Diceros bicornis minor: one gene and its partner. The protein of the gene in region 1 binds, or shares a complex with, the protein of each later gene. Links are inferred from orthologs where the notes say so. Each region holds a gene or a part of one and is shown on either strand. Other genes may lie near its edges.

Region 1 (15,573 bases):
TCCTGAAAGTGTTTGCAAACTTCCTTATCTTCAGCAAAATCAGCAGCTAATGGGGGCAGGTCACTAGGCAACTCATCGCCTTCAAACTCAGCAATGCAGTGGGATTTTTGCAACAGAGGTTTATCACAGCATGCTTTCAGTTTACTGGAGATTGAATCTTGGTTATCACAAAAGTACTTGGCAAGATCCGCCTATAAGCAAGTTGATGGAAATTGTTCAATGCAAATTGACATCACTACACTTTCTCCCGGGCCTTTATCATGTTGGCAGAACACGTTCGTTGTATTCTAAGACCATACACACACCCACCTGCCTTCTATGAACACTTTCAGTCTGTGCTCCTTAGCCTGCAGACTCAGAACTACTGAAACATTTCCACTTGATTAAAAAAACTAGTCAGTAGTAGGGGCCCATATCAGTTATTTATTAATTTTATATTTCTATTGTTAAGGCATTTAAGTTTTTAAATTAAAACTCAATATTGTTTTTCCAAATATCCTCCCAAAATTAAGTGCAGGCAGTTTGAAACCAAAAAACTAAAGTGTGATAAATTTTTGAAAAATTAGTCAAGAGCATAGTCACAGGCCCCACTTATGTATGGAAAATATCTATCTTAAATTTTCCAGAAGATGTCCTGAGAGATTAGGATTCTGGCATTTGGTCATATTTTTAAGTTTGGGGAAAAGAGATACCATGCTAAATATTTGTATATTTAACACAGAGAATTAATTGAGAGAATATAGAGAAAAAAACTCATAATTTCCAAAGGTCTCCAGATACCAGCCCTTCTCCAACTCCACTCACCTCCCCAAAAAATCTCCTAAGAAATCTACCTTTGTAGCCATTCTACTTCAGTTTAAGCCTTTGTTGTCAGTTAGAATATGACTGAAAGGGATTACAAATTAGTGAATGAGTTTGTCAGATCATTTAGCGAGCAGGTTAGCCCGGTAAAAAAAAACTACCACAAGACAAGGAAAGGATTGAGCAGATTAGAGCACAGGAGACAATCTCAACTCACTGTCAGTTGTCACCCACAGTATTAAATAAATTCACTCTATCAACTTAGCATGTAAATTATCAAAAAGCATACTAAAGAGGATTCTTTACCCTGTCATCTGCACATTCAAGCAGGTCACCATGGCAGCATTCCGTGTGGATTTTGGCAAGATCTGTCACCAGCTTGGAAATCTCTGCAAAGTCAGCCTTGGGAAATTTCTGGCTCAGGCGAGCTACTGTCCTAAAGAGAAATTTCTTCCATCAAAATACTATTAACATGCAATATTTTATGTGAAAGTACTAGGAAAATACTACTTATAACAAGAAAATTCAGGATAAAATAACGTAGAAATAATCTGTAAAATTCATTAGTTCTTATTTTAATGCTAGTTCTGAACCAGGTTATCTTAGGGCAACATGTTTTCTTAGGGCAGAACTATCCATTGTAAGAGTGTACACGGTGGATAGAAGTCCCGCGATTCATAAAAGCAGAAATCAAAGGGGTGTTCTAGAAGGGGAGATGTGCTGAGAGGCATCAAGTTTAGATCCCAGATCTGACGTCCAGAACTGGTTTTATCGCTTATTAGCAGTGTGACCCTAGGCAAGTTACTTGGCCTCTCTGAGCTTCAGCCTCTACAGAGTCACAACAGTATGCTAAATCAAAAGATCGTTCTGAGGATTAAGTTAGATAACGCATATGAAAGCATTTTATAAACTGGGAAGTGTCATATAAACTCTAGTTATCTTTTTTTAATCAATTAAAACACATTCTTCCTGACTTCGAAAGTCTCTGAGAAAAGAAATGTCATAAGTTTTACAAAATTAGGGAGTTTTGATTAACCACACTTTTACCAAGAAATTAATCCGGCGCAGTCTCTAAACTCGATGACAAGATGTAAAAGGTAGTATCTGCATGCTTTCCCAAATCATTTCAGTTGCCTAAATCTGATAAAAGATACTTCTTCCCCAAAACCAACCACAGCCTGTTTAACTGTGTAACGTTTCATGTCTGGGTTGTTTTGCTCATTGATTTTGTTGATTTTGATGGTGTAGATGGCGGAGACGACAGACAAAGATAGTTCAAATGACGATTTCTACAGAGCCTGCAAAATGTCGATTATTTTCATTTTATCTCCTGTTCATGTTGGTTCATTGTTGACTAGCAAATGGAGGATTGGGGAGGGGGGACTTTTCTTGGCATGGATACTATTGAAGGATGCTTCTAGAACCAGCTAACTAATATAAAAACAGAGGCCCAGGCAAAAAAAAAAAAAGAGATTAAGAGCAGAGCTGGAACTATGAAAAAATGAGTAGTAAACTTGATGGCTGTATTTAATTATCAGAACATAAAAAGACAATCAGACACTTTCAGATAATTGAGGGAGGGAGATAAAATTAAATGAAAGCTCCTGATGATAGCTTTATAAAAAGTGTGGACTATTAGAATAAGATCCCTAGTTTTTATAAATAAATGGGAGTTTAAATACCTGTCCTAGAAGGACAAAAAAGATGTCCTGTGAGTTCTTTGACTACTTAGAAAAAATGTGATAAAAAATAATAACAAATTGTCATTGATGCTCTGGTTTTCACCTCTTAAATTTTTACCTTTTAGACAACTAAAAGGATGTATGTGAAAGCTCTGTGTAAAATGCTATATAAATGCACAATTTTGTCAACTGAGCCATCGTCATTTGCACCACTATAAAGATGCAAACTAAGTTTAAAATACCATGCTTTGAGAGCTCTCTCTCCGAATTTTTGGAGACTGGCGCACTTGAGTCTCTCTTTGGCAGATGAAGTCAGTACTCTGTCCTTCAAAACTGCAATCTGTAAAAAGAAATTATTTTGGAAAAATTAGAAAAGAAAAATTTGACATGTAAAAACGCTTCTTAAGTTCAGCTGAGACTATGCCAAGTTAAATTTTAGAGAGATAATTGACACCTAAATTCCCAAGCGCTCCCTATTGGTGAATAATTATTTTGCTATGCAAGGAGAGGAAAAATCAGCCCGGCCCTAGTGGAAGCCTCTAGGTAGTTAAGCACCAGCACAGAGGCATTGCCAGGGAAAAGGAAACTGAAAAGGGAAGAGGAAGAACAGACTACACTCATATCCTGGGGAATATGACTTGACTGCCTTCCTAATTTTGCATATAATTCATTTCATCAACTCTCATCACATCAATAAACTCCCTACAAAAGAGAATGCAGTACATAATAAATATTTACAGAGTGATTGAATAAATCCAGGCTTCTAGATGCAGTTCAATTCTCTACTTTGAATTCCATGACCCACCCCCTCATAAAAAAGGCTCATGAAAAGATAAACAAAAACTGTGCCCCCTTGCTGTGCAATTTTACAAATGAGTTTCCATATTTCACTATAGTGACCAGCACCGTAAAGAAAGCTAGGATATTGAGACACGTAGACAGGGATGCCCTCTATCAGATCCACTTTGGTAAACCTTAGAAGGAGGAATAGAAGGTCAGAGGCCTTTAAAAAGAGTGAAAGATCTCTGTGGAGGATAAGAGTGAGGAAGGCTTTTTTGACCATGTAAAGAAGTTTATATCAGAGATTTAGGTTCCCTAAATCTAGCCATAAGATCCTCAAAATCTGAGGTTTGATTATGAATTAGTTCTTCTATTCCTCTGGGAAATACCTTTGGCAGCAGGCAGGCAGCTTTATCATCAGCTTGGCAGCATTCTTTTAAATCGTCTCTATATTCTTCAGCATAGTAAAGGAGCTCTGGGGCATAAAAGTAAGGATGTCTTCTGGCAATTTCATATAAATATCTAAATTTTTTAAAAGAAAAGACAGTCATTTTTCTATAGCAGACAGTATTACATGAACAACTGTAATCAACCATTCTCCCCAGAGCCTCCAAAACCCAAAGACGTCTAATTTACCAATTAAGCTCAATTTGCACAAGATGACCGTGCCTTTCTTATTCTTTAAGTCAGTGAAAAGGTTAAACTTACATACTTATATATATGTTTATATATATAAACATACGTATACGTATATACATATATACATACACATATGTATATACATATGTATACACACATACATATAAAATAGTTAAATTTTGGTGACCTAATGTTATTGACTAAAATGAAATCAAATCTGAGAATAACTAAACATATATCTTCATAATATTTTAATACATGTCGATCTCAAATTTTTCATATAGATCATATCCTGTTTTAATAAACTCCAAAAGATCTTTGATCAAATTTTTTATTGTGTAGAATTGTATAGTATCAAATATTACTTCTTTGAAAATTGTCATTAGAACAAAAGCTTCCAAGTCTTAATGTTGAAAATACTTTTTGTTACAGTCATTGTTATCATGTCTTAACCTATTCCATAATTTTTAATTTTGAAGTATAACAATCCGATTACTTACTTTCCCAGAAAACTCTCTTCATCTGCCTGGAATTGGGCGCACAGAACATCAGGCTCTGCTTTCAGAGGGGGGAAGTTTGGGCTGTCATCTTTGTGTTGCAGGAAGCACTCGTTTCTCTCAGGTTCTTCTTTTGTACAGCAGTCAGCCAGTTCACCATAGGTTTCACGATTAGTTGCAACTTTACACAATTCATCTCCAAAAAGAGTATGCTAAATGGAAGACAGCAGGCTTCAAATTTCTGGGCAGTATTTTATTTTCTTTGTACCCAAAGAACAGTAATAATTTAATATACTGGTAAAACTTGGTCAGGAAATCATATAAAAATCCACATTTTTCTCAGGTTTAGAGAGTTTCCCTTGATTTGACCACCTATGTGTAATTTTCTTAAGAATTAACTGTCACACTAGTACTTACAGTGGATAAAACAGAAGGGCAAAAAGACCGTCAATGGCTTGAAGGAATGAATATTACTTCTATTTCCAACTGAGTCTAACGGCCAGGAGAGTGACCCTTATAATAAAAAATCAAGGAAAAATAATCCTCCAAGTAGCAGGTGAATTCACATTAGGGAGGAAAGTGTTCAGATAGTTTCTTATTTGATCTGCTCCTTTTTGAGAGGTCCAACTTTTCAGTAAATACTATTAAAAACTGCGCCGGCCCGTGGCTTAGCGGTTAAGTGCGCGCGCTCAGCTACTGGTGGCCCGGGTTTGGATCCCGGGCGCGCACCGACACACCGCTTCTCCGGCCATGCTGAGGCCGCGTCCCACATACAGCAACTCGAAGGATGTGCATCTATGACATACAACTATCTACTGGGGCTTTGGGGCAAAAAAAAAAGGAGGAGGATTAACAATAGACATTAGCTCAGAGCCGGTCTTCCTCAGCAAAAAGAGGAGGATTAGCAGGGATGTTAGCTCAGGGCTGATCTTCCTCACACACACACACACACACAAAAAAAATACTATTAAAAACTGAGGAGTATAACACAATTTACTATGTATTAATTAAGTTATTGTATTAAAATATAGATCTTTTTCATCCTAGAAATATTTGCCTCAAAGCACATTCCATTAAATAAATCCTTTCTGTTTCCATTAATTTTTATTATGAAATAATTGTAACTTCAGGGAAAATACACTGCTCAAGACAGAATTTAATTTTCAAAAAAAACACATTTTTTAAAATTCGTTTTTAAAGCCATAATATTGTGTGGAGTTAAAGTACTGATTCTGCCTTGAGAGACGGATACATATAGAGAGAAATAAGAGGAGGAAAGGCTTCAGTGATAAATTAAAAATGGGCTTGTTCCCAGAAAAGTATTTAGATATTGAGTGGTGAGAGAAATATAAACCTCTCCTTGTACTGAAGACCTATCCAGAAACATCAAAACTTCCAAGTCCTTCAAAATGAATGAATGCCCTGGTTTTTTATTGTATGTAAAAACGTGAACATCCCTAAGACGAGGACTATGTAGCTGTACTACATATTATTTTATCCGGGTAACAAATTAAAAATCAGTTGAGTGCTTTCTAATGATAAAAACCACGTTATAATTATTAGCCTCTATGAAAAGAAATCAAACTTCAAACTTTCAAAAGAGACTTTTACAAATGACAAATATCCATTTAAATACACTATGACTATTGTGTGTGGTCTCAATAAAGAGACGTTTTTAAAACTGTGGGTATATCTAGAATGTGTCTATCACAGAAGAAACAATGGCGATACCCACTTTTGAGCGTTGCTTACAAATATGGTCATTAGCAATAATTGAGATAACTAAAATGAGATTTTTTTTTCCTTTGAAATGCTCAGGATTACTTAGAAGAAGAAGAAATAATATTCAAAATCAGAAGGTACTTACAAGTGACTTGTCACAATTTTCAGCTGACTCATCAGCAACACATTTTTTTGCGAATTCATTTACTTCATTCACTAATTTTACATGATCTTCATATGTGCCCTGCTGTAGATACTGAGAAAAGGCAACCAGCACTCTGAAACAAAGAACAAAGAAAAACATAGCATAATAACATTTTAACATAAAGTAGGTTACTATGCTAGCGAGCAAATTGTGTATCTGTATATGTTCTATATTTTATACATCTTTCTTACTATTATCCAGAAAGCCTATTCACATCAGCTATTATCTGAGGCCTAACCAGGCATATGTGGCTTTCTAATTAAAGAAGATATGTACTTCCACCATGTTTAAATATGTGTGTGCATGTCAGTAGATGCACGCACATAGAGCAAGCAAGTCAAATGTATTCTAAATTAGATCTAATTAGAATAACAGGGGTATTACATAGGCCCTTTGACTGTTTAAAACAGAAAGCTAAAAGCACGCACACATCTCATTTAATCAGGCTGTAGGATGAGATGGACCTTTAAAAAATAAACTACTTTCTCAGTTTTTACAAGATTAAAAAAATATTATGGGCCGGCCCCGTGGCATAGTGGTTAAGTTTACAGGCTCCGCTTTGGGTGGCCCAGGATTCGTGGGTTCAGATTCTGGGTGTTGACCTACGCACCGCTTGTCAAGCCATGCTGTGGCAGCATCCCATATAGAGAAGAGGAACATGGGCATGGATGTTAGCACAGGGCCAATATTCCTCAGCAAAAAGAGGAGGATTGACAACAGATGTTAGCTCAGGGCTAATCTTGCTCCCCCCTAAAAAATATATATATATATTAAAATGCTCTCAAGAAACCACAGATCTATTTGCTAGGTAAAGGAATTTAGTGAGCTGTGAAAGGAGTCATATAGTAAAGTCTTTCCCACCATGCAGATTATATAAGAGTTCCAGAGCTACATTGTCCTATAGAGTAGCCACCAGCTGCATGTGACTATATAGATTTAAATAAAATTATATATTATCTAAATTTTTGATCCTCACTTGCGCTTGCCATTTTTAAGTATTCAACAGCCACACGTGGCCAATGGCGACCATATTGGAGAACATCAATATAAAATATTTCCATCAATGCAGAAAATTCTATTGGACAGAACTGTTCCAGAGTCTGGACCCTGATGACAAGGGAATATAAAAACTTCGGAATAATAACCAACACTATTAGAAACATTAATTTGACTCTTCAATATTCAATATTTTAACTTACAGGCCTTTGAAATGTGGTTCTCCCAAATCATTAAACCGATGAGCAATTTCACTCTTGTCTGGGGAGGGGGGAAAGGGAAAAAAAAAAGGATTTGTTTAAATTCTGAAGAAAATAACTGGTTACAATGTTACTTTTTATGTTTCTCTCCGTTTGACTTAGGTATTCATTTGTGCCAAAACATGGGGCTTTGATCACTACAGAAAATCTTAGGATGATGGTGAACTATTTCTTCTGCATTTAAACAGAAGAGTTACTCAATCACCAACGATACTATTTGAAAAATCATTAAAATCATTAAATATCTATAACTTTATATTCATACTTGGATAAGATCTAATGCTCTTGTAGTGTCTATTAACGGCTACTGAGAGGACAGTTGAAATGAAAAATATAAATACAAATTCTATTCATAAGATTAATGACAGATTTTGGTTTTGCTTTTACAAAGTAAGGTGCAGTAGATAGGCCTCTGAGAATTTGGAGTTATGAATTCTATCTTCAACTATATTCTGTGAGGTTTAAGTCACTCTGTCTAAGTTCCTTCATGAGCAAAAGGAATTACAGGTACTAAGCAATTCTCACCATTTTTTTCACCTAGGATGGTAGAAACATATTAATAAGATAACTTTCTAAGGATTCACAAATACAAAATATCGTCAAAGTCTAGAAATAAATGCTAAAGGAAAACTTACTTCTTTAAAGAAGCAGAGTTTACTGAAACTCTTTTTTACTAGGAAAATAAAAGAAAAGTTGAACAATAGAAAAACAGAATTCTTACATGAATGGCGACGAAACACACCCCTGGAATAAGCAGAGCTGAAGAGAAAGAGAAGCGAAATAAAGGTTACCCACTTCATTGTGCCAAAGGCTTGTGAGGTTGATAAAAGAGAAAAAGGTAGGAGAAATAGAGGGATATTAGGACTAATATACTTCTTTCACCAATAATTATAGATTATTAACTAGACTCATCTTTGTATTCATTGGCTCCCAACTGATTACAAAATTTACAATATTCTTGCCAAACAATTGTTTGACTAATCTGTTGCGTATGTTTGCCATCTAGCGCTGTTTTCCCCACAAGACCTTGTCAATTCATTAAAGTTATGTAAAACATCTTATCAAATTTTACATAAGAGTTTAAACGATTTGTGCCTATTATTCATTACCATGTTCTTTATCTGTGATTTCCCATTTGAACATTTTAGTTTTCAGTATTTGCAAAAAATTTAACCAAACCAATGACTTAGCTTGGAAATAAGAAGTACTAAAAGAGCTAAGCCCTGAATTGTATCTATTACTAATTCCAAGAGTGTTTTTATTGATAAATAATAAAAAATTTACACACACACACACACAGAGGGCATCCATGTCTTTTTCATTCTTCTGAAACTATTCTGTCTGAAAAAGCTGCAAACTAAGATGCAAACTAAGAAAAAGCCATAGCAACAATAACAACTAAAATGGATATTCAGAAGTTCTACATTTCCATCCCAGCTCTGGCCCATGAGTGATTCAGTCCCTGCAGTAGGATGCTTAGAAGAAATATGGGTATCTCTCATAGAATTTCCTGTTAAGGAGATGGGGAAGAACATGAATGCAAAAGACAGTAATGATGATCTTTGCATGATCATATACACAGGCCAGTTTGAGCCCTGATTACACCTCTAGAGGTTATAGAATCCTAGACCTTCTTCACCAAGCATCATATTCTTTCCATCCCTGTTTCACACGTTTTTCCTTTCTCCCTTTTAATAAAAAGAAAAGTCACATGCTCTTCTTTAACGTTATTTTGAGTTTCAAAGTAAATTTAACATTATGTCTGAAAACAAAGCAAAGATAATTTTTCAGAAATGTTTTTCCAAACTTCCTTTCCTACTCTCCCCACCCAAGATTCTGATCTCTACCTCTGAAAGGCTATTCTCTCTCTGCCCTTTCGCCCCAGAGATGAAGAACTACAAAAATTAGTGTCAAGCCAGTCATTTCATTTAATTACATAACCGAGTCAATCAAAACTGTCAGTCAAGCTGCTCTATGGCACATATAGATGCGAAGACTAACAAATACTCAACAGAAGCATTATTTTTCCTATTCAGTCATATGATGAAAGAGATACACTTTCTATGATCTTATTTTACTGTATTTCGTTTCACGTATGAGTACCAAATAGATAATCAAATACAGAAGAGGAGATGATAGATAAATAGATGATTGATAGATGGATAGATAGATGACAGAGATGGATAGATGACAGAGATAGATGATAGATGACAGATAGACAGATAGATAGATAGACAGACTAAAGATAGATAGATACACAGATACACAGACAGACACATAGATAGACGGAGTTTTTTTAAAGCGGCTCAAGGGAGTCCTGAATAATGGAGCCAGGCCACAGATGAACAGAAATAAAAAAATGTCTGCCTATGGAATTATTTCTGTTGGAGAAAACCATTTTTTTTAAGCCCAAAAACCCAGATTAGAAAAGGAAAAAGGAAATTATTCTAACTTTCTATCATTCTAAATGGAGAAAATAATTCTTTTTTTAGATAAATTATGTCAACTTTTAGCTGCCGAGAAAGTCAGTGTCCAGCCCTAAACTTTTCCTTATATGAGTCCCTACAGAAGGCTTGATCAAACATTCAATCCTTATCAGTGAATATGTTTGCATTACTAATTCACAAAATCAAACCCTTGTCACACACACATATATTTTGCGCATACTTTTTCATTTAACAAATGAAAAGAATAATATTAATCTCTCCATCTACTTTGCATTGCAATATTGTATCTTAATGCGATGGTAAATATAGGACACCAAAAAAAAGATAAAATTAATCATGATTCTAGAAATTTAGAATTGATTTTTCTATAGTTAATGAAGATCCCATAGCTTTCAAATATAAAATTTAAAATATCCGAAAGAATCTTTTCTTACAGTACCAATAAGGTATTTTGCATGTGGGTATTCTTATTAAAGATTAGTAAATGGTTGAGAAATTAAAAATTTTAATTCTTAACACGATCTGCATGCTTAAAATTCATCCTTATTAATAAGCAACCCTTGGGCCGGCCCGGTGGCACAAGCGGGTAAGTGCGCGCGCTCCGCTGCGGCGGCCCCAGGTTTGCCGGTTCGGATCCCGGGCACGCACTGACGCACCGCTTGTTAAGCCATGCTGTGGCGGGGGTCCCATATAAAGTAGAGGAAGATGGGCACAGATGTTAGCCCAGGGCCAGTCTTCCTCAGCAAAAAAGAGGAGGATTGGCATCGGATGTTAGCTCAGGGCTGGTCTTCCACACAAAAAAATAAATTAAAAAAAAAAAAAAAAAGAAACCCTTGAACATTTGCATTTTGGGGATTCCCAAAGTAAGAATTCCTACATTTTTCTTCTATTAATTCTGCATGTACATTCTATAGTGAGAAGAATAAAACCATATCATTGTTGGTTATTTCTAAATATTCTATTCTTCAAGATTTTAAACTTTTATATTTAGTTAGTCATCAAAGGACTCTGGCATAAGGGTAAATGCAAATATTTAAACCGAGAATTATAAATATGGCTTACAGAATCTGGTTTCTAAGTAAACAGGAAACTAGCTCCAATGATTTTAAAATGTTTTCACATTTTTTACGGGAGAAGTTTAAAAAGAAAGAGCAGTTAAGAAAATTATTTCATATGGAAAGAATAATAGTGTACTGATCATTTAGAAGAGAAAAAAAAATACCTCAATTGGAATGTAAATATAACTGGGAATTAAACCTGAATCTTTATTCCTGTTGTCCTGTGTTTTCCATTCATTTTGACGGGATAGAAACGGCACGGAAGCAGATAAAATATCTCTTTGGACCCGTCTCCCACTTCCTTGCAACCCTAATCATATATAAACCTATGCCCTCTACTACCCTCTGGATTCCTGAAGCTTCTCATCAAGTTGTTCAAACAGGCTTCCCTCCATCTGGCCATCTTCTTGGTCCAGCCCTTATGCCATCTCTTTCTGTGATAGAGCACTACTTCTGTGTCAGCTTCTCTTAGAAACAAAGTGAAATACATGCGTAAAAATGTGACAACAATATTTAATAATATCCTCAGTATTTTAACAGAGAGTTTCTAGAGACAATCACTTATCCCAAAGTCATTCCAAAATAGAGGTAATTTGGAGTCATTTGGAGATGAGATTGGGGGCAAGAAAACCTTTTCTTAGCACTCTTCCTACTATACTATGAACATATGCAGATCCAACATAACATGAAGGGCCTGGACAGCTTTCTGAAAAATACAGACGGGTAGAAAAGTTAAAACCCAGTAAGCATCAAACTAGCCAATTCAAACATGGTAAGCAATTTAATTTCTTATTCACTTGTGAAGGTACATTTCCCATTAAAAAATAAATTGTCTGAAATGTATGACCTTATACAGGCATTTCTAATGCAAATAAAAAATTGTAATGTGATCCAGATATCAATTGTCCCCTCATCTGTCTATGTAAGCCATCCCCCCAAAATGTCCCCTTGCATTAGTGAGAAATATCAAATTTGGTGAAGAATTCATAGACGACAAGGAGAAGAAAGTTTACGTTATAAAAACCACACTAGTGGGATGGGCCCTGTGGCATAGTAGTTATGTCCACTCCAGTGGTTCAGTGCACTCCACTTCAGTGGCCTGGGTTCACAGGTTTGGATCCCAGGCGCAGACCTACACCACTTGTCCACAATGCTGTGGCGGCAATCCACATACAAAATAGAGAAAGATTGGCACAGATGTTAGCTCAGCATGAATCTTCCTCAGCAAAAAAAAAACACACACTAGATCATCATCTTTGGCTTGTCCCATCTCTTAAGTCCCTCTCACTCCAAAGCTCCCACGGCAGAAGGGTCCCTTTTCCTGCCCTTTCTTCATGTTACACTGGGCCTCTAGAGTTTATATCTACCTTCTCTCAGATTTCCTAACCATTCACTTCAAATTTCTCAACGCTTTACTATGCAGTTTAATTCAGCTCAATGTCAATTTCCAGTTCCCAACTCAGACACACAAATCTGTATATATCTCCATATCATATGGGTCAAGTTAGATTAAATTATCATTAAGGACCCTTCTACCTTGAACATTCTGTGTTCCACATTTCCCACGTAACAGTCTTGCAGAAGGAGAAAAGGGCCTGACTGGTAGAATGAACATATCAAATTAGGGAATTGGGATTCAAATTTAAGAACTTGCTCATTGCTGAGCTGTCCAATGGCTCCTCAGGCATTACTCTCCATCTAGTTCAGTTTAAATTTTTAAGAAATGAAAAGGTCATTTAAACTTGTCTAAACAAAGTAAATAAAATGACACTTTCCCATATCTTTTTATTGTATTTCCAACCCAAGAAAAATATAGCTAATGTCTGAAATCCATGCTTAATTATTCTTTATATGTTAACAATTAGAATCTATAAACGTATCAGTTGAAAGTAATGCCAGTAACTCCTCTCTCATAAAAATAGCTACAGGTGGAAATCAAAAAATGAATTCTCTGCTGAGAGTTTAATAGTGCTCAGTCTATTCATGTTCTATATTTTTTCCAAATGTAATACAAGAGACTTACTACCTAAAAGGTGGTTAATTTAAAGTTATAAAATTGAACTTTTTTAACCTTCTGTAAAACAATAAAGTTTATATAACTAAAATATTCCTAGGTTAAAACTTTAGTAGATCAAGTCTAAAAAGTTTTCATTAAAGGATAAAATCTTTTTCTCCTCAAGGTCTTCCAAAGCTTAGAATTTATTAGATGTTTTGTAATCTCCAAGTGCCGGTCTTGAGCTAAAATTTCTCTGGCTTGCCACCTAACTGAGCCTTGGAATTTAAGTCTTGAAATTCTTGTCAGTTTTTCAAGCGTGTATGTATGGGCTAACGTGAAGAAATGAATTGTTTGATCCAAAAAAACTTGTAGCTCTTAAGAAATACATCAAATAAATAATTGGTCTATGTTCTCTTTTTTTTTGAGATAAATTAATCTCTGGCCTAATTATAATAAACTATATAAGTGTTATCAAAATAATTTTTAAATATTATTATTGCACATATAAGCATTGAATTGTTCAAAATTAGTTTTTCATTATATAGGCATTGAAAAAAATAAAATTCTTTTATTAGAATAACATTTATAGGTTTGAAGGTTATGTTTACAAAAATAGTTTATTTAATAATAATATGTTGGAATAAAAAATATGCATTCAAATAGCATAAAGAGGTAATTTTGGTAACAGGACATTGACAATGGTACTCTCTTTCCAAAATGCTTCTGATTCAGTTCTGGCATATCCAGCATAGTTCAACATCAATAGCTTAAATTACTAGACAAAATACATACAAATACTATTTCAATTAAATTTTAATTTTTATATTTACACTAGATATTCATTCATTCATTAAAATTATATAAATTAGCCTCTCAGCATTTAATGTCTTGAAGGCAAATGACTGCTATTGATGAGTCCAAATTTCTCTCTGTTGTTACATGGAAAATTGGCAAGAAATGATGCTATCTAAAAGCAAACATTGTTCTGGCATCAACAAACCCACTATTTATTTAAGAACACCGGTGTTCTTGCTGACAGGGCACAATCCGGAAAACAATGTTGCATACTTATTTTAAGTAGCACCACCTAGTCTTTCATTCATGCTCAAAATTTATTGAGTGCCCACTAAATGCCAAGCATTTGCTAGGCTATGAGGATACAAAAGGTTAGTAAAACACAGTCCCTGACTTCAACGAGCCCACAGTCTAATAGAGGAGACAGACATATAGAAAGATAATTGTAATGCAACATTGTAAATGACTGTGCATGTAGAATACAAGGTACTCCTGGAGTGATACAGAAGTAGTAGAGGAGAAGCTCTAAATCCAAGGGCAATCTCATGCATGAATAAGACATATGAGCTCTGACCTCTTTAGCTAACTATGCAACTCAACAGACTATAAAGTTTCAAACTGGCATTCTCTGGTTTCATTTTTGCTTGTGAAGGAAATTTGCCTGGAGAAATGGAATGAGTAGGTAGAGGACTGAGGGAAGTTAAGGAGGGTATGAAGATGTGTAATTTCTAAATATTTGATAAAAGACCAAAATACAGAGAGCAAAGAGTTAGGCCCCGATTTAGAAGATGATGGAACTTCCTGTAGGAGTAAGAAAGAAAAGCAAGGCAGACCGGCAGGAAGAAAAGCAAAATTTGCAATTGTTTGGATTTCCAGGCAGACCTAAGGATGGGAATGGAGAATTTAATATTAAAAGCCCCTAAGAAAGATATTATCCTTGTAGAAAGCTACAAAACTTCCATGGGGACATAGTTTATCTAAGATGATTGACAAAGTTGGTAGACCACCCAAATAGTTAGTGATGAACAGTGTTCCTGATTCAAGCTGTATTTATTTAATAATACCATTTGCTGGAAGTCTGAGAGGGCTTTCCTAGGGTTGTGACTTTTAAACTGAGAATTTTTCAATGGGCATGAGTAATGAGGGAAGAAAATAGCTGTCCAGTTACAGGGGACAGCATGCACAAATGCTTGAGGCAAGAAAGAGTATGAAGGAAAGTGAGACAGTCTAGACACAGAGAGGGGGAAGCACAGTGTGAGATGAGATATGAGAGTAGACGGCTTTGTATGTTATCTTAGCTACAGTAAGTATTTTTAGTCCTCATTCTAAAAGCAATGAGAAGAAGTTGAATGATTTTATTACCTCAGTGATATAATCTGATTTATGCTTCAGAAAGATTGCTCTGGCTGCCATGTGGGGAAGAGACTAGAGAGGACAAGAGTATATATAGGAAGACTAGTCAGGGGACTAGTGCAATAGTCCTAGCAGCAGATGATGAGATCTTGAGCTATATCAATGATATAGATGTGGAGAGAAGTGGACAAATTGGAGAGATATTTAGGGTGGTACTGGTCATGGACAGAAGCAAGAGACCTCCTTCTCTAAAATCCATGCTTTAGAAGGCCTCCTTTGGCCTCTTCCAGCTATGCTTTGCCCCCAGAGAGCAAAAAGTCCACAAAACCAAGGGTATGTGCC
Region 2 (15,966 bases), on another chromosome or scaffold:
AGTCATCTGAGGGGGCAGGTTCTCTGCCTGCAGCCCTAGTGAGGAGCTAAGTTTCGGGTTCTGGAAACTTCCTTTGCTGGCAAAATCCAAGTAAGGAAAATTGGCCTTGAGGGCAAGTCTCAGAATGAGGCCATGCTGGAGCCAGCCTGGAACCCAGCTCAGCAGTGCGGGGTTGCAGGCTGCTGAGAAGTGCATAGGAAGCGCCTGGAAGTGGGTCGAATGGGGAGGGACAGACCAGGTGGGGCGCCTTGGGTGAGGAGAGACACAGGAAATGGGAGAATGGGGACAGGGTCAGGCAAACTTAGGGAAAGAGGTTTCTGACAGCCAGACAGAACGACCTTGAGTGTCAGGGAAAACGTGGGAGGTGGGAGAGGTTGACAGCTGATAACAGGGAGAGGGGCCTTGAGCGTCAGATGCAGGGATGAAGAGAGACGGGCAGAGAGCAGAGGGCTCAGCTGGACACAGCAGGAACCCAAACCACAAGCAAGGACAGACTCGGCTTTCAGAAACAGACCTAGATGGACCTTGAGCATCACAGAGTTAGAGGTGACAGGCATGGGGTCCACCAGGCAGGAGGGCGACAGGTGTAGACGAGTCAGAGAAACACCATGGAGAGGGAGGCAAGGACTCCTGGGATCCGAGGGGCGGAGACGGACGCGCAGAGAGAGAAGGGAGATGCTGGAGTCATCCTGCCGGCTTCACCCCTGGGGGCCCGGCGCTGCTGGGGTCCCCAGGTCCCTGCCCCCCATGCCTGTACCAGGGACTGAGGCGCAGCACTGGTACAAGGGTTGGGAGACAGGGCCGTGAGGAGAGAGGAGCCGCTGCCGCCTCCAGGGACGCCGCCTCTGGACCGGCCCGGTGGCTCCTTTTTACCCAGGCCCAGCGAGGGCGGGGGTTCCTGCCAGAGGAAGTGGGGCCGCATCAAAGAGGGCAGGAAGGGGCAGGGACGGGTCAGGAGGGGGCACCGCCCCGACTGTCAGCCTGCACGCCCGCCCCACCCCGCGCTAGAGGGGTAGAGACCCTGAGAGAGGGGACGGAGATGGGGGAGTAAGATCCAGAGAGAGGAGAAGGGAGCAGTGACCCAGGAGGGACATGGATGGAGACCCCAGAGGGAGGGGGATGGAGACGCAGAGAAGGATCCGAGGCCGCTCTGGCGGCCCCCCTCCGCAGGTGTTTCCGTTCGGGGTGGGGATTCGTGTTTACAACAACAACAGCCCAGCTCCCCTGTTTCCTCCCAGCAGTCGTTGGGGCGTCTCCTTGGCACCCCACCGCGTTGGGCTACCTGGTCTCGGGTGGGGCACCTCTGATGGGCCTGGAGGGTCGAGAGACCTCCAGGTGGCCCCAGTTCTCGCCTGAGGAGTGGGTGACACTGTATCTGCCCTTTTAGAGCCGTGTGACAACAGAGATACAATCCCAGGCCCGGGTCACAGCCCCGTGCTTCCCCCTCCGCCCTCTGCCCACCACTCTCCCCTCCCTTCCTCTCCGCCTGCCCGCGCCCCTGGGACCTGGGCCTGGAAGCTTCTAACTGTGCCTCCGTCTCTAATTCTCACAACCCCCTTCCACTTGGCAAAACCTCCGACCTTCCCCCTCACCCCTCCCTGCTGCGTTGTCCTACACAGTCAGGTAAAACCTGTTTATGGTGTGTTTGTGTGTTATTGTATGAATTCGGTACAACATAGCATACCTACTTGTTTACCTGTCGGCCCCTGGAACGTGAGCTCCATGGGGCAGGATCCCCGCGTCCCCAGCGCCTGGAACAGTTGTAGATGCTCTGGACGTGTTTAGTTGAGCGAACGAATTCATTTCAAGTTAAATCCTCGCATTCTCCAGGGCGGGCCTGCCCCCTAGGTCTCAGGGCACAGAATGGCCAGAAGCAGTGAACACGAGCAGAATCCTCCCAGTGTGAGCATGGAGACTGTGGGCTCGGTTCCGGATTCTAGCCCTGCGGCTCGTCAGCTGTGTGACCCTGGGCAGGTGGCTCCCCCAGCCACAGAGCCTCAGTTTTCTAATCTGTGAAACGGGTTCTTGCCTCCCTGCCCCATTGGGAGGATGAAATATGCTCACGTGTGTTAATGGGATAGAACTAGTTCTAGTAAGTGATACTTCTTAGCAAAGTAATTATTCTGGAGCCCTGAGCCTGTAGAGAGGCCCAGTGGTGTCTTGGTAGAGCAGGTCCTGGGTCCCTTCAGACAGGCCCAAAGACAAGAGTCTTTGCCAGGTGGCCCCAGAGGGATTATATGGTTGTGGACTCCTGGGTCTATTAAAGCAAGCCCTGGTGGTTTGGCCTGGGATCTTGAGTCTGTTTTAACGTGCTTCTGGAATGTTCTGTTGCATGCCTCTTATAGGAGGCCCCGGTGGCAGTGGCATTCTGCAAGGAAATTAGCTCCCCAGTTTCACAGCAGGGTCCCGGGTGTATGATGACAGCAGGCATCAGGCCTGTTACATGACAACAGGGCAGATCTCGGTGGTATCATAGTGTACTATGGCCCCGCACTGTCATACAGCCACGGGAATGTTCTGTTACAGCCAGACTGGCCATCAGTGTTGCATTCTATTGTAGCGGGACCCAGGTATACGGAGTGTGGCGGGCCCTCGGGGCCTGTAACAGGCCCTGCTGGGGGTTGCCATACCCGAATTGTATTACAGCCGGCCCATGAGTATTAGCGTGTAGAGACAGCTGAATTCATTTACCTGGTCCCCAGGTCTGAGAGTGGAGTCTAGGGCAATGGAATTGGAGTGGCTGCCGTGTGTGTTTGCACAGCTGTGCCGTCATATTTTAGCACCACCCTGAGCCCATCCTTGGAAAGCCCCGGGTCTTGCATTACAGCAGGTCCCAGCTCTAGTACATATTGTAACAGAGACCTATGGATTGTTTCAGGGGTGGGGATAGATCCTTCTAGAACATTCTAGCAGGACACCAAGGCCATTCTGGAAGAGTTTTAGGGGCATATCAAACCAGCCCAGTGTCGTTCATTATTGCCTTCATTCATTCGTCTGGGGATGTGAGAGTGAGCAAGACAGATCCAGGGCCTGGTGTCTGAGAGCCCACGATCTAGTGTGACCCTGGGGACCTGAACAGCAGCCTGGAAGGGGGCATTAAGGGGAACAGGAGTTACGACTGTGCCCTACTCTGTGGCCTGCGCCAAGCCTTTGACTCGCCGAAGCCTGTCTACTGGGTTGGGCACAATTATTATCCTCCTTTTGCAGGTAAAGACACGGAGGCTCAGAGAAGCCCACCTGCGAGAGGCAGGATTTGGTTTGGAACTCAGGTGTGATTGCCTCCTGGGGTCAGTAGGGGGCACTATGGTGTAGGTGCAAAGGGGACGGGGATGTTAAGGTGGCAGCGACTCAGGTCGCTCAGAGCTGCCAGGGGGCCATTTATAGTACACAGACCCCAGGGGCCAAGGCGGCTTCCTGGGTGAGCTCCCCACGCAGTGAGAGCTCCTTCAGAGGGACCTATGCTTCATTGAATGCTCTGCTTGGACGTCTTGGAAGTGGAACACGGGGCCCCAGGGTTTCATTTGGCTTCGGGTCCACAGGTTAATAACCGGTCCTGCCACAGGCTTTCTGTTGCTTTATAGTGGGCCCCTGAGGACCTGACAGCAGTACTCCCAGGGTCTAGAGGGCACAAGCAGGATGTTAAAGCAGGACCTGGGGATACGACAGGAGACAGTCAGCAGATGCTGTACGTGGCTCCTGAGATGTAGCAGGACCCCAGGGCACCTGGAAGGGGTTCCCGGTGGGCATTAAGGGACCTTGAGGGCTTTTTCTTTTGAAGCTGGAAGGAGGGATGTTAGGGGGAAAGTTTGGGCAGACCTCTGAGAGGCCTCTTGGTGAAACCCTGGGGCCATATGACAGCAGAGAGAGGAGATTAGAATGGGGGCATTCTAGCAGGGGCAAGGGAGGGCGTCCTTGGTGACTGTGGTAGGCTGGATAATGGTCCCCCAAAGTTTTCTATGCTGTAATCCCAAAAAACCTGTGAATATGTGACATTACATGATAAAAGGGACATTGCAGCCACGATTAAATTTAGGATCTTGAGATAGGGATATGATCCTGGATTTTCGAGGTAGGACCAATGTAATCACAAGGATCCTTAGGAGAGGGAAGGAGGATCAGAGTTAGAGAGAGGTGTAAGGATGGATGCAGAGATCAGAGAGGAGAGAAGATGCTACACGGCCGGCTTTGAAGCTGGAGGAAGGGGCCACGAGCCAAGGAATGCAGGTGGCTCTAGAAGCTGGAAAAGGCAAGGAAATGGATTCTCCCCCAGAGCCTCCAGAAGGAACCAGCCCTGTGCACCATTTCAGATGTCTGACCTCTGGAACTGTAAGGTCATACATTTGTGCTGCTTTAAGCCACTAAGTTTGTGGTCATTGGTTACAGCAGTGATAGGCCACTAATACAATGATCTGGGGTGTGTGTGGATGGCGCTGATGCAGGATCCTGGGGCGCGCATGGATTTTCCCGGAACCCCGCAGGACACTTGGATGGCTCTGGAACACAGTAGAGCAGGCCCTGGGTGTGTTTTAGCAGGAATCTGAAGACTTCATGGTAGGGCTAAGAGGCATTCTAATAGGGTCCTGGCAGGACCCAGAGGGCTGAGAGGGGACTCCCCAAGGCCGTTTTGGCGACCCTCAAGGCCACACAAGGGAAGGCTGTACCCATTTTAGCAGGAACCAGGGGACCTTCTGAGCACTCGGGGGAGAGTGTTGCAGGGTCCTGGAGACATTTTATCAGGAACCCAAGGACTTTTTGACAGGAGCCAATGGGTATTAGCATAGGGTCCCGAGAGGTGTTGAAGTGACAGCCGACGGGGTTATAGCAGGACCGAGGACACCTAGAGGAGATGCCCAGAGACGGTGAGGCAGGAGCTGGAGGACAGTCGAGCAAGATGTGAGCATTCCAGAAGGACCTGGGGCCACCAGGGCGGTGCATTAGGGTCTTGGGAGCATGGTGGCAGAACCCAAGGACTTGTCATCAGCACTCTAGTGACATTATTTTAGGGTCCTAGGCAATGGAGAAGAATCGTGGGGGGTGTTTTAACCATTAGAGGAGGACCCAGGGTGTCTAAAGATAGCGGGGCCTCCTGGGTGAGGGGGCAGCGGTCTCGTCCGATGCAGGGCCGTGGAAGGGGCATGACGGCGAGTTCCTGGGAAATAACGGAGGTTTCTGGCCAGGGAGGGAGGTTATGGCAGGTCCTGGACGGTCTGTCTAATTGTTTCTGTCTATCTGTTTACCTCTGTCTGTATATCTGTCTACTGGTCCATCTGTGTATCTATCTGTCTGCCTGCCTGCCTACTTACCTGTCTATTTTTCTGTCTATTTGTCTGTCCATCTGTCTGTCTACCTGTCCATCTGTGTATCTATCTGTTTGTCTGCCTGCCTGACTAGCTGCCTGTCTATTTTTCTTTCTACCTACCTATCTATCTATCTATCTATCTATCTATCTATCTATCTATCTCCCTCCCTCCCTCTCTCCCTCCCTCTCTGTGTCTGTCTGTCCATCTGTCTTTCCTGGGGAGGTTCTGGATAGGGCAGGGCCTGGTGAGGGACAATAACAGAGAGAACCCAGGAGTGGGTTTGGGGACCCTGCTCAGCTTTACACCAGGAAGTGAAGGATCCAAACAGGCTTGGCCACGGGGAGGGGCCCAGGGCTGAGGGCACTTCGGGGCCCTCCCAGAGTGGGTGGCAGCAGTGGTTCCGTGAGGGCTCAGGACTGGTTCAGCTGGATTCCAGGGATGGGGTGGCTGACTCTGTGGGACATCAGCGTGGGCTCCTGAAGACGTTATCGCTGGGTCTCAGGACACTATCAGGGGACCCAGGGAGCAGAGAGTGGGGGCCTGAGATTAGTAGAGACCCAGGAGCAGGGTGGCGGCCTCCGGCCATGGTCCTGCAGGAAGCCGGGAGCGGCGTTAAAGCTGGTTGTTACGGCAGATCCGTGAGGGCTGCACTGGGGCCCCCCGGGGCAGTGCAGCAGACGCTGGGCCCCGCCACGGGGTCTTAATGGGCAACAGGCCTCAGAGTGGGATGACAGGGATACTATATTAGGGCTCAGGGAGCATTTAGATGAGTTCCGGGCCATCTTAGGGTGAGACCCAAGCAGGACCTCAGGGGGATGGTTTTCAAGCTTCAAGGAAAAGTATAGCAGGTCCGGGGGGGGTGGGTTGTCACGGGACGGTGACACTTTAAATCAGGGTCCAAGGAACATCCCAGCACAGTCCTGAGGGCCTTTAAAATGAGAGCCCAGGGGCTGCTGGATGAGTGCCCCGGGACACAGCTGGATCCCAAGGGACGTGGAGGGGACAGCTGGGCACGGCAGCCTCCTTGGGGTATTTTAGGAAAGAGCAGCAGGCGCCGTAACAGCGTTCATGGGACGTGAAAGCAGGATCCTTCTGTATCATGACAGGCGGACCCTTGGGTGGGTTAGTGGATATCCTAACAGGACCCAGGGAAAGTAATGAAAATCAATGGAGGCTCCTCAATAAATCGAACACAGATTTATCACCTGTAATGGTTAATTTCACGTGTCCACTTGGCTGGGCCGCAGTGCCCAGATGTTTGGTCAGACATTACTCTGGATGCACCTGTGAGGGTGTTTTTGGATGAGATGTACACCGGAATCAGTGGCCCCTGAGTAAAGCCGCCTACCTTCCATAATGTGGGTGGGCCCCATTCAATCAGTTGAAGGCCTGAGTAGAAGAAGAAACTGACCTCCCCCAGGCAAGAGGGAATTCTGCCACCTTTGGACTTCTTCTGCACGATGAGCTCGTCCTGCTTCTCCAGCCTGCCTGCCTTTGGACCTGAGCTACAACTCTTGCCTGAGTCCCCTGCCGGCCGGCCACTTGTGTCAGATTTTGGACTCGCCGAGCCTGTACGATCCTTGTGAGCCAATTCCTTGAAATAAATCTCTTTCCGTATGCGTATATACACATCCTATTGATTCCGTTTCTCCAGAGAACCCTGACTAGTGCATCATATGGTCTAGCAATTCCACTCCCGGGTATATATGTCAAAGAACTAGAAACAGCTGTCCAGGGGCCGGCCCCGTGGCGTGGCGGTTAAGTGCCTGCGCTCTGCTGCTGGCGGCCCGGGTTCGGATCCCGGGCGCGCACCGAGGCACGGCTTGTCAGGCCATGCTGTGGCGGTGTCCCCTATAAAGTGGAGGAAGATGGGCACGGATGTTAGCCCAGGGCCAGTCTTCCTCAGCAAAAAAAAAAAGAGGATTGGCGTGGATGTTAGCTCAGGGCTGATCTTCCTCAAAGATAAAAAAATAAAAACAGCTGTCCAAAAAAAAAAAAAGTCCAAAAAACATTGTACAAAAACATTCACAGCAGCATTATTCATATAGCCAAAAAGTGGAAACAACCCAAATGTCCATCCACTGATGACTGGATAAACAAAATGTGGTAGATCCAGAAAATGGAATATTATTCAGCCATAAAAAGGAATGAAGTTGATACATGTTACAATGTGGATAAATCTTCAAAACAGTCTGCTGAGTGAAATAAGCCAGACACAAAAGGCCACAATATTGTAGGATTGCATGTATCTGAAATGTCCAGAATAGGCAAATCCATAGACACGAAAAGCAGATTAGCAGCTGTTAGGGGCTGGGGGGAGGAGGGACTAAGTGTTTGTGTGTGCAGTTTCCTCTTGGGGTGATGAACAGTTCCCGGAACCAGACAGTGGTGATGGTTGCACAACGTTGTCAATGCACTTCATGTCACTAATGGTAGATCTTATGTTTTGTGCATTTTCCCACAATAAAACAAATGAATGGAAGCGTTATAGCCTGAGCGTGGGCTGGGGTGGGTGACTGGGAGTGATTTCCAAGCGTGGTCGTGGTATATTGGGACTGTGTTATTGAGGTCATCTGAGGTCATACTAAAGAACTGCAGGAGCACTTTAAGGGGACACTTAAGGGAGGAGTCCGAAGGAGGAAATATAGAAGCATCTGGAGACCTTCCATTATAGCTGGAGCTAATGGAGGCATGGGCCGTACAAGGGGGTAAGAAGGGAACCCACAGAGATCTCCCAATTTTGAACTCCGATAATGTTTATTCTCCACTTTGTCATGAATTCGCTGGGTGGCTGACACCCTCTAAATAAAAAATCGGAGCGGCAGAGAAAGAGACAAAAAAAAAAAAAGACAAAAAGTTTCAAGAGAGGCAGAAACCAGCACTCCGAGAGGCCGGGCGCGGGGCCCGGGGTGTGCCCTGCAGCTGGGGGCGGGGTTGGATATTCCTGGAGTCGGGGAGCCGTCTCCGGACAGGATGTGAGAGAGGAACTGGGGTCTCCAGTCACGGGAGCGGCCAGGCGGGAAGGGCCGTGGCTGCCGTAAGCGGGGCCGGGGCCCGGGTCCTGAAGGACAGGCTGGGGTCGGGGCGCCCGGTCCGCGGGAGGGGGGACCCCAGGGGGGAGGGGGCCGAGGGAGGAGGGCTGGGGGCCCGGGCTCCAGGGTCCGAGGGCGGAGGGGAGCGGGGGCCCGGAGTCCCCGGAGTCCTCCTCCTCCGAGGAGGAGGAGGGGGGGAGGAGGAGGAGGAGGAGGAGGAGGGGGGAGGGGGAGGAGGAGGAGGAGGAGGAGCAGGAGCAGGAGCAGGAGCTGGAGGCGGCGGCGGGGCGCGCTCCGAGAAAGAAACCTCAGCCTCAGCAGGCTCTGTAATTAATTAACCACCGGGGATCCCGTTAAGGGGTGAAAGGTCGCTGAGGAGGCGGGCGCAGTTGTCACCCGCCTGGACCGAGCCCGGAGCCCACAGCCCTGGTGGCCGAGCCGGCCGAGCAGGGGGAGGACGGGGCGGGGCGGGGGTCCCGAGCAGTCACGCGCCCCCTCCCGCCCAGGTCGCCCTCTCAGGATGCGGGTCCCCCCTCTTCTCCTCCTGCTCTTCCTGCTGCCTGGGACCCTGCGCGCAGGTGAGGGGCCGTCGGGCCGGGCGGGGGGCGCAGGGCGCGGGAGGGGTGGCGAGCTGTGCCGCCGGGAGCCCCGCGAAGGAAGCGAACGCTGAGGTTTCGCTCGAGCCCGGCGCCTCCTCCGCCGCCGCCTTTCACATTGTCGATCGCTTTCTCCTCCCGCGTCCGTGTGCCCGGAACCACCTGTCCCCTTCTGTCTGGGTCTATCTGCCTGACTCTGGGTCGTGCCCCGACTCTGGTTCTGTCCGCCCCTCTCTGAGTCTGCCCCCCAATCTGTCCCCTCTTCCCTGGGTCTGTCCCCCCTCTCTGGGTCTGTCCCCTCCTCTCTGAGCCTGTCCCCTCCTCTGGATCTGTCCCCCCCCTCTCTGAGTCTGTCCCCCCCTCTGGGTCTGTCCCCCCCTCTCTGAGCCTGTCCCCTCCTCTCTGAGCCTGTCCCCTCCTCTGCATCTGTCCCCCCCTCTCTGAGTCTGTCCCCCCTCTCTGAGTCTGTCCCCCCCTCTGGGTCTGTCCCCCCCTCTCTGAGCCTGTCCCCTCCTCTCTGAGCCTGTCCCCTCCTCTGCATCTGTCCCCCCCTCTCTGAGTCTGTCCCCCCTCTCTGAGTCTGTCCCCCCCTCTGGGTCTGTCCCCCCCTCTCTGAGCCTGTCCCCTCCTCTCTGAGCCTGTCCCCTCCTCTGCATCTGTCCCCCCTCTCTGAGTCTGTCCCCCCCTCTGGGTCTGTCCCCCCCTCTCTGAGCCTGTCCCCTCCTCTCTGAGCCTGTCCCCTCCTCTGCATCTGTCCCCCCCTCTCTGAGTCTGTCCCCCCTTCTGGGTCTGTCTCCTCCTCTCTGAGTCTGTCCACCTGACTCTGAGTCTGTCCTCCCTCTCTGGGTCTGTCCCCCCCTGGATCTGTCCCCTTCTCTCTGGGTCTGTCCCCTCCTCTCTGGGTCTGTCCCATCCTCTCTGGGTCTTTCCCACCCTTTCTGGGTCTTTCCCATCCTCTCTGAGTCTGTCCACCTGACTCTGAGTCTGTCCTCCCTCTCTGGGTCTGTCCCCCCCTGGATCTGTCCCCTCCTCTCTGGGTCTGTCGCCTGTATCTGGGGTTGAGTCTTCTCTCTCTCGGCGTGTCTGTCCCGCTCCCAGTCTAGCCCCCACCCCCTTCTGCTCTCTTCACCTGTTTCTCTCCAGCAGAGAACCATCTGTCCCTCCTGTACCACTTCACCGCCGTGTCCTCCCCTGCCCCGGGGACTCCTGCCTTCTGGGTGTCAGGCTGGCTGGGTCCCCAGCAGTACCTGAGCTACAATAACCTGCGTGGCCAGGCTGAGCCCTGCGGGGCGTGGGTCTGGGAGAACCAGGTGTCCTGGTATTGGGAGAAAGAGACGACAGACCTGAGGAACAAGGAGAAGCTCTTTCTGGAAGCTTTCAAAGCCTTGCAGGAAGAAGGTGAGACTGGGACTCCTGGGTCTAAGGGAGGAGGGACCCCCGGCTCGGAAGCCCTGCTCACGTGTGTGTAGGCGCCCCCGGTCCCTACACCCTGCAGGGCCTGCTGGGCTGTGAGCTGGGCCCTGACAACGCCTCGGTGCCTGTGGCCAAGTTTGCCCTGAATGGCGAGGAGTTCATGGAGTTCGACCTCAAGTTGGGCACGTGGAATGGGGACTGGCCCGAGTCCCTGAGAATCGGTAAGAGGTGGGAGCAGCAGGCCGACGCCATCAACAAGGAGAAGACCTTCCTGCTCTACTCCTGCCCCCACCGGCTGCTGGGGCATCTGGAGAGGGGCCGCGGAAACCTGGAGTGGAAGGGTGAGCAGCCTCCCGAATCCCTCACCACCACGATCTCTCCATCCCGGGGGCCCCGCCTCAGGCCTCCTCCTCTCCCCAGCATCCTCCCTGGCTTCCTGGCCTCCAGTTTCCCCGCTGCAGCTCATCCTCCACACAGCCCATAGGCTCTTTCTGTACCCAGAGCTGCCCCTGCCCCTCCCCTGCTCACAGCCCTCCATAGCTCCCCAGTACTCCCAGCGTAATGTCCTCATCAGACCCGTCCAGCTTTACTTGCCTCCACCAGGCACATGGCACCCCTAGCCACTCCACATATGAGCAGTGTCTTCCCTCTAAATCTTTGCTCGGGCAGCTCCCCCACCTCCCACCTCACCCACTCCCCCCCACCTCTGATTAAATCCCAGACATCAGAGGATTTCATTCGTAAATGCTTTAGTATGTAACTCTGTTCTGTAAGGGCTCTTTAAAACAATACCACAAAACCATTATCACGCCTACAAGTAATTAACTACGTTCCTTAACACGGTTAAGGACCCGGTTCGTGATGACATTTCCCTGATCGTCTTATCCATGTGTTTTTAAAGTTTGAATCAGGATCCACATGAGGTTTCAATGAGTCTATCTGTCTCTTCAGGGTCTTTTTCTTATTGTCGAGTTTTAAGACTTCTTTGTATATTTGAGATCCCATCCTTTATGGGATGTGTTTTGCAGTTATTTCCTCCCAGTCTGGGGCTTGTCTATCCCTTCTCTTCGCAATGTCTTTTGCAGAGCAGAAGTTTTTGATTTTAGTAAAGTCCAGTTTATCACTTTTTCTCTCATGGATCGTGCTTTTGGTGGTGTATCTCAGAAATCATCACCAAACCCAAGAACATCAAGATCTTCTCGTATAATATCTTTAGGAGTTTTGTAGTTTCGTGTTTTCCCTTTAGCTCTGTGATCCATTTTGAGTTAATTTTTACGATCTTAATTTTTGTGATCTTCACTGTCTTTTAATCTATCGGTCGCCCTATTTCTCTGGGTCTTTTTTCTTTGCAATTTTGCTTTGAGGAAAGTGAGTTGTTTGTCCTCAATCCCTGAGATGTTGCTGAATGTGATCCTTTTTCTGTTCTCCTGTTTCTCCTGTAAACTGGTAGCCCCCGATGTGGAGGCTTGATCACGTTCCAATTCGATTTTTCTGGCAAGAAAACTTCCTGGGTGGTTGGCGTGCGTGTCCGTGTGCACGGGCCCTGTCTGTCTGGTCGTCTCTGTGCTGTTCTGGCGCACCGTCGGGTTCAGGGGTTGTCATGAAATTCGCCGTCAGGTTTTCTCCTAACGGTGTTCGCTGCCATCGGTGACCCTTGCCTTGCTCCGTTATTTCATTAGGAGTTACAAAGCAATGGTGTATTCGTTTGCTTGGACTGCCATAACAAATACGACAGACTGGGTGGCTTAAATAACAGGAATTAATTTTCTCACAATTTTGGAGACAGGAATTTCAAGATCAAGTTGTTGGCAGGATTGGTCCCTTCTGAGGCCTCTGTCCTTGGCTTGCAGACGGCCGCCTTCTCCTCGCTGTGTCTTCACGTGGTCTGCCCTTCTCTAGGTGCATGTCTGTGTCCTAATCTCCTCTTCTTACAAGGACACCAGTCATATTGGATTAGGGCCCACTGTGATGACCTCATGTAACCTTAATGACCTCTTTAAAGGCCCTATCTCCAAAGACAGTCACATTCTGAGGTACTAGAGGGTAGGGCTTCAACTTAATGAATTTGGGGGGACTCAATTCAGCCCATAAAAGATGGCATTCTAATTCTTTCGTACCTTCTTCACTCATTTATCTGGAATTCTGAAAAGAGGGTCATCAGCTATCAGCTTTCAAGGGGACCAGTTAAGTTTTATTTTAAGTATTACTATGAACTCATGGATCTTATGTATGTTAATCCATTGAAGACCTTATTCTTTTTTTTTTTTCTAATTTTTGTTTATTTGTTTTTCCCCAAAGCCCCAGTAGATAGCTGTATGTCATAGTTGGACATTCTTCCAGTTGCTGTGTGTGGGACGCGGCCTCAGCATGGCTGGAGAAGCAGTGCATCGGTGCACGCCCGGATCCGAACCCGGGCCGCCAGTAGCGGAGCGCGCACTTAACCGCTAAGCCACGGGGCCGGCCCTAAGACCTTATTCTTTTGGAAGCTCACATTGAACCATCTTACACTATTGAGAGGGTCTTCAAATTGGCTCCTGAGTCTTTTCACATGACCCTACTAATCTTTTATGGCTTCCTTGCAGTATGCAATGAAAGGTCTCCAGGTCATCTGTTCTTGCCCGGCCCCAGTCCTGGAATGAGCCATTTCTCCGTGGACCCCTGGTTCCTTTGAGTGGGAAATAGTATTTAGAGACCACAATCTAGTCACTAGTGGTGTTTATTGCTGCTGGATTGGTGATTGTAAGCCTTTTCAGTGGACAGAGCTAGAAAGTAGACATTTTATTTTATTTTTAACTTTTTATTTTGAAATAACTATAGATTCAAATTTTATTTTTATTTTTAAAATTTTTTAAAATCTTTACATTTATTTATTTATTTTGGTGGGGAAGATTGGCCCTAAACTAACATCCGTTGCCAATCTTCCTCTTTTTTCTGAGGGAGATTAGCCCTGAGCTAACATCTGTGCCCATCTTCCTCTTTTGTATGTGGAGTGCGGCCACACATGGCTTGATGAGCGGTGGGTAGGTCTGTACCCGGGATCCGAACCTGCACGCCCTGGGCCCCTGAAGTGGAGCCCGTGAACTTGACCACTACGCAACTGGGCCGGCCCCTAAATTTTTTATTTTATTTTTTTAATGTGATATACTTGACATATAACATTGTGTAAGTTTAAAGTGTACAATGTGTTGAATGATACACGTATATATTACAATATGATTACTACCATAACTTTAACTAACACCGTCTATCACAGTCATATAATTATCATTTCTTTTTTGTGGTGAGAACATTTAAGATCTAGTCTCCTAGCAATTCTGAAGCGTATAATACAGTATTGTTGACTATAATCACTATGCTGTGCATTAGAGCTCCAGAACTTACTCATCTTCTAGTTGCACTCCACGCTCGTTGCAGCGTTATTCACAATAACAAAGATATGGAAACAACCTAAGTGTCTGTCAATGGATGAATGGATAGAGAAGTTGTGGTACATATATACAATGGAATATTATTCAGCCATGAGAAAGAAGGAAATCCTGCCTTTTGCAGCAACATGGATGGACCTTGAGGGCATTATGCTCAGTGAGATGTCAGACAGAGAAAGACAAATACTGTATGATCTCTCTTATATGTGGAATCTAAAAAAAGCCAAACTTATAAAAACAGAGTAAAATGGTGGTTACTGGGGGCTGGGGGTGGGGGAACTGGGGAGATGTTGTTAAAGGGTATATACTTTCAACTGGAAGATGAATGAATTTTTGTTTTTTTTAAGTGCAGTAAAATACACATAACATAAAATTTACCGTCTTAGCTGTTATTAAGCGTATAATTCAGTGGCATTAAGTACATTCACGTTGTGCAGCCATCACCACCATCTATCTCCAGAACTCTTTTCATCTCGCAAAACTAAAACTCTGTCCCCATTAAATGCTAACACCCCATTCTCCCTTCCCTCCACCCTGGCAACCTGCATTCTGCTTTCTGTCTCTATGAATTTGACGAGTCTAGGTACCTCGTATAAGTGGAATCATACAGTGTTCATCCTTTTGTGACTGTCCTATTTTACTTCACATAATGTCCTCAGGGTTCATCCATGTTGTCGCATGTGTCAGAATTTCCTTCCTTTTTAAGGCTGAACAATATCCCATTGGCTCTATACACCACATTGTGTTTATCTGTTCATCTGCTGATGGACACTTGGGTTGCTTCCACCTTTTTGCCTATTATGAAAAATGCTGCTGGGAACATGGGTGTAAAAATACCTCTTCAAGCCCCTGCTTTCAGTTCCTTTGGGTATATACCTAGAAGTGGAATTGCCCGATCATGTGGTCATTCTATTTTTACTTTTTTGAGGAACCGCCATACTATTTTCCACAGCACTGCATTATTTTAAATTTCCACCAACAGTGCACAAGGGTTCCGACTTCTCCACATTCTTTCCTCAAGTTTTATTTTTTAAAGGGAAAATATATCATGAATTCATGCTGATATTGACAAGTCACATTTAAATTTGCGGGGTTCTTACTTAAAACTTCTTTGATTTTGTGTTTGTATTTCTTTTGCTTTACTCTGAAAATTTTGGTTCCTCATGACATTAACATAATTCCTTACTTGCTCTATGCTAATATGTATGCGTGTGTTATTACCAACAATCTGATTGATTACTGAAAACAAGTAAAAATTTCTTGGCAGTTTTTTGGTCCTTAGATTGTAGCCATAAAGTGATATCGAGTCAATTTAATGTGGTTTTTTTTTTTCCTCCCAAAGCCCCAGTAGATAGTTGTCTGTCATAGCTGCACATCCTTCTAGTTGCTGTGTGTGGGACGCGGCCTCAGCATGGCCAGAGAAGCGGTGCGTCGGTGCGCGCCCGGGATCTGAACCCGGGCCGCCAGTAGCGGAGCGCGCACACTTAACCGCTGAGCCACGGGGCTGGCCCAATTTAATGTGTTTTAATGTTATTTGAATTAATTCCTGTCTCTGTGAAAACATCAGCTTGATGAAGACTTAGGTTCATTTATTTCATGCTGCTTTTCAGCTTTAGATATTGCTTTTCTTTTATCTGTTGTTTTCACATTTTTTGACCGTTTTGCAAAACAGAGTTCCAGAGTGGAATCTATGTGGCCAGGTGCATTCACAGAAGTCTGTTTCCTGTTCCTCTCCCCTCCACCCTTTTCCTTCTCTCCCTCATGGATAATAATTTTTTCGTTTTTGACTTGTTCTTCCTTTTTTTTTTTTTTTGTGAGGAACATCAGCCCTGAGCTAACATCCAATGCCGATCCTCCTCTTTTTGCTGAGGAAGACTGGCCCTGGGCTAACATCTGTGCCCATCTTCCTCTACTTTATATGGGACGCCGCCACAGCATGGCCTGACAAGCGGTGCATCGGTGCACGCCCGGGATCCAAACCCGGGCCGCCAGCAGCAGAGTGCGTGCACTTAACCGCTGCGCCACTGGGCTGGCCCCTGTTCTTCCATTTTTTAAAAATATAAGCACATGGAGTATATATCCAGAGAGGTCTTTCTACACCCACATCTGACTCCGCCCTCCGCTGGCTCACAGCCCTTGTGTGGCCCCCCGGATGGGTCCCAGCCCCTTAGCCTGGCGATCGCAGAGCCTTTCATTATCT

What was found.
Region 2: the proteins of ALB (region 1) and FCGRT are in contact, whole or in part, in a crystal structure (PDB 6QIO), measured with the Homo sapiens proteins. The link is inferred for Diceros bicornis minor from reciprocal best matches to the Homo sapiens genes ALB and FCGRT. Residues at the interface, in NP_000468.1 of Homo sapiens: Arg105, Glu106, Thr107, Tyr108, Gly109, Glu110, Asp113, Asn133, Asn135, Gln441, Ser443, Pro445, Thr446, Glu449, Leu484, Leu487, His488, Thr491, Pro492, Val493, Tyr521, Val522, Pro523, Lys524, Thr530, Phe531, Thr532, Phe533, His534, Asp536; in NP_001129491.1 of Homo sapiens: Arg65, Glu67, Glu69, Gly72, Ala73, Val75, Trp76, Gln79, Val80, Ser81, Trp82, Trp84, Glu85, Lys86, Thr89, Arg92, Asn172, Lys173, Leu175, Thr176, Leu179, Phe180, His184, Glu188, Arg192, Gly195, Asn196, Trp199, Lys200, Glu201.

What each region holds. Positions count from the first base shown.
Region 1 is NC_080747.1:59,358,405-59,373,977, reverse strand, and holds the start of ALB (albumin), read right to left. Parts: upstream 8,383-15,573; coding exon 8,304-8,382; intron 7,584-8,303; coding exon 7,526-7,583; intron 6,400-7,525; coding exon 6,267-6,399; intron 4,612-6,266; coding exon 4,403-4,611; intron 3,786-4,402; coding exon 3,653-3,785; intron 2,824-3,652; coding exon 2,726-2,823; intron 1,238-2,725; coding exon 1,108-1,237; intron 192-1,107; coding exon 1-191. UniProt on the Homo sapiens protein: Binds water, Ca(2+), Na(+), K(+), fatty acids, hormones, bilirubin and drugs. Its main function is the regulation of the colloidal osmotic pressure of blood. Major zinc transporter in plasma, typically binds about 80% of all plasma zinc.
Region 2 is NC_080773.1:24,937,531-24,953,496, forward strand, and holds the start of FCGRT (IgG receptor FcRn large subunit p51), read left to right. Parts: upstream 1-7,923; 5' UTR 7,924-7,983; coding exon 7,984-8,008; intron 8,009-8,838; coding exon 8,839-8,910; intron 8,911-10,071; coding exon 10,072-10,326; intron 10,327-10,397; coding exon 10,398-10,682; intron 10,683-15,966. UniProt on the Homo sapiens protein: Cell surface receptor that transfers passive humoral immunity from the mother to the newborn. Binds to the Fc region of monomeric immunoglobulin gamma and mediates its selective uptake from milk.